Linked DNA regions of Pelodiscus sinensis. The protein of the gene in region 1 purifies or fractionates together with the protein of each later gene. This does not show direct contact. Links are inferred from orthologs where the notes say so. Each region holds a gene or a part of one and is shown on either strand. Other genes may lie near its edges.

Evidence for each region. Proteins that work in one complex are often made in the same cells at the same time.
Region 2: the proteins of RAF1 (region 1) and LRRC59 purify together in Homo sapiens (affinity purification with mass spectrometry; 3 studies listed by BioGRID and IntAct, with this or other methods). This does not show direct contact. The link is inferred for Pelodiscus sinensis from reciprocal best matches to the Homo sapiens genes RAF1 and LRRC59.

What each region holds. Positions count from the first base shown.
Region 1 is NC_134721.1:47,893,386-47,897,132, forward strand, and holds the start of RAF1 (RAF proto-oncogene serine/threonine-protein kinase), read right to left. Parts: upstream 2,854-3,747; 5' UTR 2,830-2,853; exon of another isoform or gene 2,534-2,829; intron 2,476-2,533; exon of another isoform or gene 2,331-2,475; intron 1,740-2,330; exon of another isoform or gene 1,716-1,739; intron 1-1,715. UniProt on the Homo sapiens protein: Serine/threonine-protein kinase that acts as a regulatory link between the membrane-associated Ras GTPases and the MAPK/ERK cascade, and this critical regulatory link functions as a switch determining cell fate decisions including proliferation, differentiation, apoptosis, survival and oncogenic transformation.
Region 2 is NC_134730.1:13,989,771-13,993,517, forward strand, and holds the start of LRRC59 (leucine-rich repeat-containing protein 59), read right to left. Parts: upstream 2,916-3,747; 5' UTR 2,764-2,915; coding exon 2,678-2,763; intron 2,500-2,677; coding exon 2,391-2,499; intron 984-2,390; coding exon 924-983; intron 1-923.

The DNA of each region.
Region 1 (3,747 bases):
TACCTTCACTTCTGCATTGCTGGTAGTGGCATCACTGCCTTCAGAGTTATACAGCTGAAGGGCAGTCACTGGCCAGGAGCCCAGCTCAGAAGAAAGAGCCACCACCACCAGCAACAGCAGTGCAGAAATATGGATGGCACAATGCGGTCTTGCCACCCTTATTTTTGTGTTCCTAGCTACAAGAGCTGGGCCCTCAATCAACAGCAGCCATGCTGTGGCCACCCAACTCCGATGGCAGCACTACAAAAGTAAGGATGGCATTGTATAGTATTGCCACCCTTATTTCTGTGTTGCTGCTGGTAGGGCACAGCCTTTGCTATCCAGCCAACCACACTTCTGTACTGTCTTCAAAGCTGGGTATTAATACTGCAGCCCTCCTAAAAAAACTTTGCAATTCTGTTGGAACTCCCTTTTTTGGGTCAGACTTCCAATTTCAGAAATGCTGATCTCCCCCATGAAGTCTGTATAGTAAGTATAAGGTAAAAGCACACAAAAAACCAGATTTCATGGTCCACGATGCATTTTTCATGGCCATGAATTTGGTAGGGCCCTAAATATTAGCCATTTACAAGCTTTTCAAAACAAATGACATTTTTAATCTTCTTTTATACAGTCTCTCTCAAATATTTTCCAGCCACCATGCCTGGCCTGACTTTCTGCAGCACTCCAGGCAAATAAAATGTGCAAACCCTCACTCAGTTTTCTTCCCTTCTTTGCATACATAAGACCATCTCCAACTGCCTCTTACAGGTCTGAAACACATTCCCAGTTTGACAATTCCATTTCAATTGGTTCTGAAGCCCTAGAGCCTCAGACAAAATCCTTTTATTTATGAACAAAATTCAGACATTATTAAGGTGGAAAGCAACATCAGGGATGTACATTTCAGAATCTGAGCTAACAGACAAGCGGATGCTATTTAGAGGCACATTTGTACGCCTACCAGAACCTTAGCTACATGTGCTCTATGTAACAATATAATCGTTACGTTCTGCTCTAGCGAAAGACCTTGTCTACATTGCAAAGGTGCCCCAGTTTAACAAGTTATTGCATATTTGGTTCAAGTATTTAAAAGTTCTGTAGACACACTCTTATTTAGTTCACAAAAGGTTTATTTAATTTGAGCTCAAGTCAACTGAGAAGTGGTTTAAATGAAGCCAAAGGAGGTAGCACAAAAACTGCAATACCAATGTACACGCAATGGTTTGCCTAGGGATTTTAAAATGTGTTTAATTAAGTAAACATGTAATTACCGAAAGTTCCTATGGTCGAGGGGAGGAGTCAGCTTCCTACATGGAATGCCCCCCCCCCCCCCGCTGACTGAGGGGGGGGCTAGGTGGCTCCCCAGGAACCAGGGTATGTGAGACCCATGTGTACTGGGACCCTGACAGTTAACCAACGAGCCCAGTGTTTGACAACTGATTCATTTACCCATAAGAAGATTCCCACACTTTCTGTTCTCAATGAAGCAGAGCAAATCAAGGTGGCTCTGAAGTTGAAGGGGCTATTACTGTGCTCACAGATCACTAGATACTTGACACAACAGTCTCTAGTTCTATGCAGTATTCCTACAGCTCATTTCAGTGCACTTAAACACATCTCATCCTCTCTCAGGGTAGCACTCCAGAGACCCACTGCTCACCTGTCCCGCCAGACGCAGTAAACAGTGCGTGAGGATTTAAACAACAAACCAATATGGCAAAGAAGGAACAAACCTAAGCAGGAAGGGCTCAGCTGCACAGCACGCATGCCCCACACACTCCTCAGCCACTAGGCTCGCGTCCCAAGCAAACCCCTTCCTGCAGCCCCGCTCCCCGCAGGAGGGATACTCGCTCGGCTCCCAGTCACCCCCTGCGGGCTCGCCAGAGGAAACTGCCCCGCCATCAGCCGGGATTGGCAGCCCCTCCCCTGGCCCGCAGCGCCTAGGGACGGAGGCGCCCCCTCCCCCTCCTGGCACCTTCCGCGGTGCCACTGCGCAGCCTGCGGCGCCCAGCTCAGGCCCCGAGCGGGAAGGGGTCCAGCTGCAGGCCCCCCTCGCCCTGAAGGGGCCGCCCCCGCCCCGTGCCGTCCCTTCGCCGCTCCTGGCGCAGCCGCCGCGCAGGGCCCTCCGCCCATGCCGAGGGACGAGAGGGTCACTCGCTGACACCGCTCCCCAGCGGGGCGGCGGCGTCTCCTCCCCAGGCGGATCAGTGTCCTCGGGGTTCAGCGACGGGGCAGGGAGCCGCTGACTCGGCTCCAGGGGAAGGAGCTAGGAAGCAGCGCCCGGCCGAGGAAGGGGGACCCCCCGCTGTCCGTGCCCCGCAGGGCTCGGGCCCCCACACTGCCCGTACCTCTCCCACACTGGCTCCCCCGACTCGCTCCTCACTCGCCGCCGCTCGTTCCGCTCCCCATCTAAAATGGCGGCCTCAGCCTCCGAGAGACATTTCTCATGAGCTCATCGATCAAGCCGACGCTCGGCTACTTAGCCTTCCCCTCCCCCCCGCCCCCTGCCTGCCTCGACCGCCGAGCCATGCATGAGAACCCCACCCCCTGCACCACACGCAAACCGCCATTTGGGAGCTGGCAAGCCAAAGGGGGCGGGGCGAGCCCGGCTCCAGCAGGGCAGCGCGGCCTGAGGCGGGCCTTGTGACAGCCCGCGCGCCCTCTCCCGCCACTGGGGGCCGCCCTTCTCCTCCGGGGAGCAGGGGCCGGCTGCCAGCGGCGCGCAGAGGCGAGCTCGCCGTCCCTGGGGCGGGAAGTAGCCTGGCAGGAGGCTGTCGGGCTGCTCCCCCTTGTCCCGGTAGCCGGGGCCTGGGCTCCCCTAGGCGCTGCTCGTTCCCCTGTGCTGACCTGCTCGTGGATGTGCCTGCTCGCACCCAGCCCGCAGAGCAGCGGCAGGCAGGAAAACCGCCTTCTCCACGGCTAGAGGCCTCGCCAACCTACGGAGCACGATGCAGCGCTGCGGTGACCCCGCCCCATGCTGCCCCAGTTGCCTGGCTCCTCGGTTTTAAACTCTGCTGCTCCAGATGCACGGACCAGAAACCACCCTGGTGCCTTTACAGCAGGCTCTGTGTCTTTCATTGCCCGCCTTGGTAAGCCTACCTGAGTGCATGGAGCTGCTCAGCTTCCATGCCTGCCACATGCACTAGCTGTGTTCCTGCCTGGATTATTGGGAGCTAGTGGGTCTGTGCTTTCACAGCTACAGGCCACCTGTAGAAACGTGGGTCTTTTACAAGTGAGCAAAGAGTAGGGTTGCCAGGTGGCTTCAACAAAAATACTGGACACACTTGACATTACATCACAATCGACATTACATCTTATTTAGAAAATACCAGACAGTTATATTTCTCTTCAGGAATCAAATTGAGAAAATGTCTGGTATTTTCTAAATAAGATGTAATGTCGATTGTGATGTAATGTCAAGTGTGTCCAGTATTTTTGTTGAAGCCACCTGGCAACCCTACTCTTTGCTCACTTGTAAAACACCCATGTTTCTACAGGTGGCCTGTAGCTGTGAAAGCACAGACCCACTAGCTCCCAATAATCCCCTCCCTGCTATAACCCAGTCCCCTTTCTCCCCCAACCTTATGTCTTGGTCCTAACAGAAACCACGGCTTGAAACGCAACCCCCCACCTTTTCCATTATTTTCAATGGGAAAATTGACCCCACATAACATGTTTTCACTTAACATGATCATTTTCTGAAACATATCTATAGTGTTAAATGAGGAATTACTGTAGTTTTTCTGTTAAGTTATATTAAATCTT
Region 2 (3,747 bases), on another chromosome or scaffold:
CCTCTTCCTCCTCTACATCTAGACGTACCCTAGGACTGTAATGTAGGGAGCAGTGGATAGTCTCCTAAACAGGGCTATATATAGCAATATAATTACAATGGACATAAGACAGATGCTTTTGGTATCTAGCTGGTAGAGCACTTTGGAATAGAAGCTGCTATCACTGAGTACATTCATTTTCTGTAAGAGCACTGTGCTATGCCAGCCAACCTCAGTAAAAGTTAGTCACCTCTAAAGGCCCCTCTATAACAGGGGCAATGTCATTTATCCTCCCAAGAATCATAGAATAATAGGACTGGAAGGGACCTCGAGAGGTCATTGAGTCCAGCCCCCCGCCCTCAAGGCAGGACCAAGCTCCATCTACACCATCCCTGACAGATGTCTATCTAACCTGTTCTTAAATATCTCCAGAGAGGGAGATTCCACCACCTCCCTTGGCAATTTATTCCAATATTTGACCACCCTGACAGTTAGGAATTTTTTCCTAATGTCCAATCTAAACCTCCCCTGCTGCACTTTAAGCCCATTACTCCTTGTCTTGTCCTCAGAAACCAAGAGGAACAAATTTTCTCCTTCCTTCTTGTGACACCCTTTTAGATATTTGAAAACCGCTATCATGTCCCCCCTTAATCTTCTTTTTTCCAAACTAAACAAGCCCAGTTCATGAAGCCTGGCTTCATAGGTCATGTTCTCTAAACCTTTGATCATTCTTGTCGCTCTTCTCTGTACCCTTTCCAATTTCTCCACATCTTTCTTGAAATGTGGCGCCCAGAACTGGACACAGTACTCCAGCTAACATAAGAAGCTAACATAACTGCTAGTTATCAAATTCCCACCTCATCCTCCCATGAAGGCTAGTATCCTTCTACAGATATTTTCAAGCAGATCCCACCCTCTTCCACAAAGCTTTTCTCTCCTCTTACCGGTAAGGAAGTGAGATTGTTACAGGACAAATCCAATATGGTAGCCTTTGGAAGGGCAGCCTGAAAAAGAGCCAAGGAACCAAATTAAACCTATATCAAAGCTACAAAAACAACAAGGAGTTCCGTGGCACCTTAAAGACTAATATATTTATTTGTGCATAAGCTTTCATGGGTAAAACCCACTTCATCAGATGCACTGGAGTAGAAATTACAGAGATAGGGATATATATGTACTAGTATAGGGAGTTACTTATCAAGAGTTTGACCAGTGACTGAATTGGGCTCATTAACACTGGTCTTACACTTGATAACTCCCTTCTTTTGATATACATGTATGATATTGAGATTATATATATATATATTATATCTGCTTTTCTAATTTAGTGGGTTTTACAAAAGCTTATGCCCAAATAAATCTGTTAGTCTTTAAAGTGCCACAGGACTCCTTGTTTTTGCAGATACAGACTAACACAGATACCTGAGACTTATCAAAGTTACAGTTCTTTAACATGTTTGATACTTTGCTGCTTATATTTAAGTTTTTTGGGATTTCTCCCATACATGGAGTTTTAAGAATTTCCCAGTTGCCACCATTCAAATTATTTTTGCAACTCTCTTACATCTCACTCAAAGTCAGGGTTTTATGAGCACTGCTCCCACTGAAATAGGTTCTTTCACCCAAAGCCTCCATTTAATACACAATCTGGATTAAACCAGATTAGATCAATAGGAACACACTTTTCTTCAGGTCACATCAATCCCCAAAGTCAAAACAACAGGAAAGATTCAAGGTTGCATATCCTTATCTTCCCTTTTTTCTTCAAACCAGGAGAAACAGTGTGAGTGTGCCTTTAAATACTGAATTGGCATTACCTTGAGCTGGTAAAAAACAAAATGTACACAGGGCCCAATGCATCCCCAGACCTCAACCCCACCCCTTCCTGGACCAATCTGTAATTCACAAAGACCAAGTGTAATCTCAAAAGCTCCCCTGCAATACCTTAAGGCTACATCTACACTGGCATGATTTTCCGGAAATGCTTAAAATGGAACAGTTTTCCGTTATAAGTATTTCCATAAAAAGCACGTCTACATTGGCAGGATGCTTTTCCGGAAAAACACTTTTTCTGGAAAAGCATCCGTGCCAATGTAGACATGCTTTTCCGCAAAAAAGCCCCAATCGTCATTTTCGCGATCGGGGCTTTTTTGCAGAAAAGAAATCTGTGCTGTCTACACTGGCCCTTTTCCGGAACAGTTTTCCGGAAAAGGACTTTTGCCCGAACGGGAGCAGCATAGTTTTTCCGGAAAAGCACTGATGATTTTACAGTAGATCGTCAGTGGTCTTCCAGAAATTCAAGGGGCCAGTGTAGACAGCTGGCAAGTTATTCCGGAAAAGCGGCTGATTTTCCGGAATAAGTGGCCAGTGTAGACACAGCCTAACACTTCCCAGAAAAGACTGATACTGACCAGCTCTTTGACTGGCACCTCATTCAGGTCACTCAGGCTCAAGTCCAGTTCATTGCCATCAAGTTTGTCTTTCAGGTTCACTCCTTTTCCTCCCGCTTTTGCCATGATCCTATTAACAGATAAAGAGTCGTAAGTAGCTCACCAAAGGGCCTCCTTTTTTGGGGGAAGGAAAAAAGATCAGGAATGGAAGAAGGGGCACCAAAAGAAATTGGCAAACCCCTAGATTTTCTTTTAAGCTGTATCTACCTAACAATTACAGCAGGAGTCTGGACAGCTGTTGTGCTCACCTTTTAAAGCCAGGGATATTTTGATCCCCTTTTAGATCTTGCTCTGGATGCCAGAGTGTTTGCCAGTTCAGGCTAACTGTGGACATGGTTTTTGCAACCTGTCTACCAGGAACTGGACTGACAGCCCATTTAGCAGAGGCTACTGAAAGGCCACCAAATGGGAACAACTATTAGTCTTTCCTTTTTACCAATTCAAGCTGAATATGGATTGTAAACCTATACCTGTGACACCTGATAGGCATCACCACCCTTCCAGGATTTTCTGGCTAAATGAGCAAGAATTTTATTTTCTTAGAAATAACCCAACCTCCTCCGATGCCCCTCATGCCAGCAGGACATCTAGGCACAGTGAGAACACTGTAAGGTATCTGTTTGTCCTACTACCAAGAGTAGAATTGATTGGGTTGTGGTGGGGGGAATCCAAGGGTCTTTTTGAAGAGAGCTCTCTGAAGGGCAGAAGTACAAGAGAGGATGGTGAATGGAGGGAGCAAATACGTAGAGGTGGAAGCGGAAATGCTGTTTAACAGCAGTGGCCCAGTTCCCGGACTCTGTCCCACCACATCTTGCTGTAGCTTTGGAATGTTTATTCCTTTGCATTCCAGTAAGGGAGAAAAAAAGCACAAAGGCAGAAGTGGGACATATCCCCTCTGCCCCAGCAAGCCACTAGAAAGAGTAGGCGACCCTGTCCCCCAGCAGCTCCATCTCCTGTGGGAACGCCCCAGCCCAGCCAAAGCTTCCCCGCAAGGGACCAAGGGAGCCTCAGACTGCCAGTCTCCCCAATACCCCCCGCACAGGGCCCCCCCTCTCCCCAATACCCCCCGCACAGGGCCCCCCCTCTCCCCAATACCCCCGGCACAGGGCCCCCCCTCTCCCCAATACCCCCGGCACAGGGCACCCCCCCATGTCCCCACACAGGGGGGCCCCCTCTCCCCAATACCCCCGTCCACCTCCGCACAGGGCCCCCCCTCTCCCCAATACCCCCCGCACAGGGCCCCCCCTCTCCCCAATACCCCCCGCACAGGGCCCCCCTCTCCCCAATACCCCCCGCACAGGACACCCCCCCATGTTCC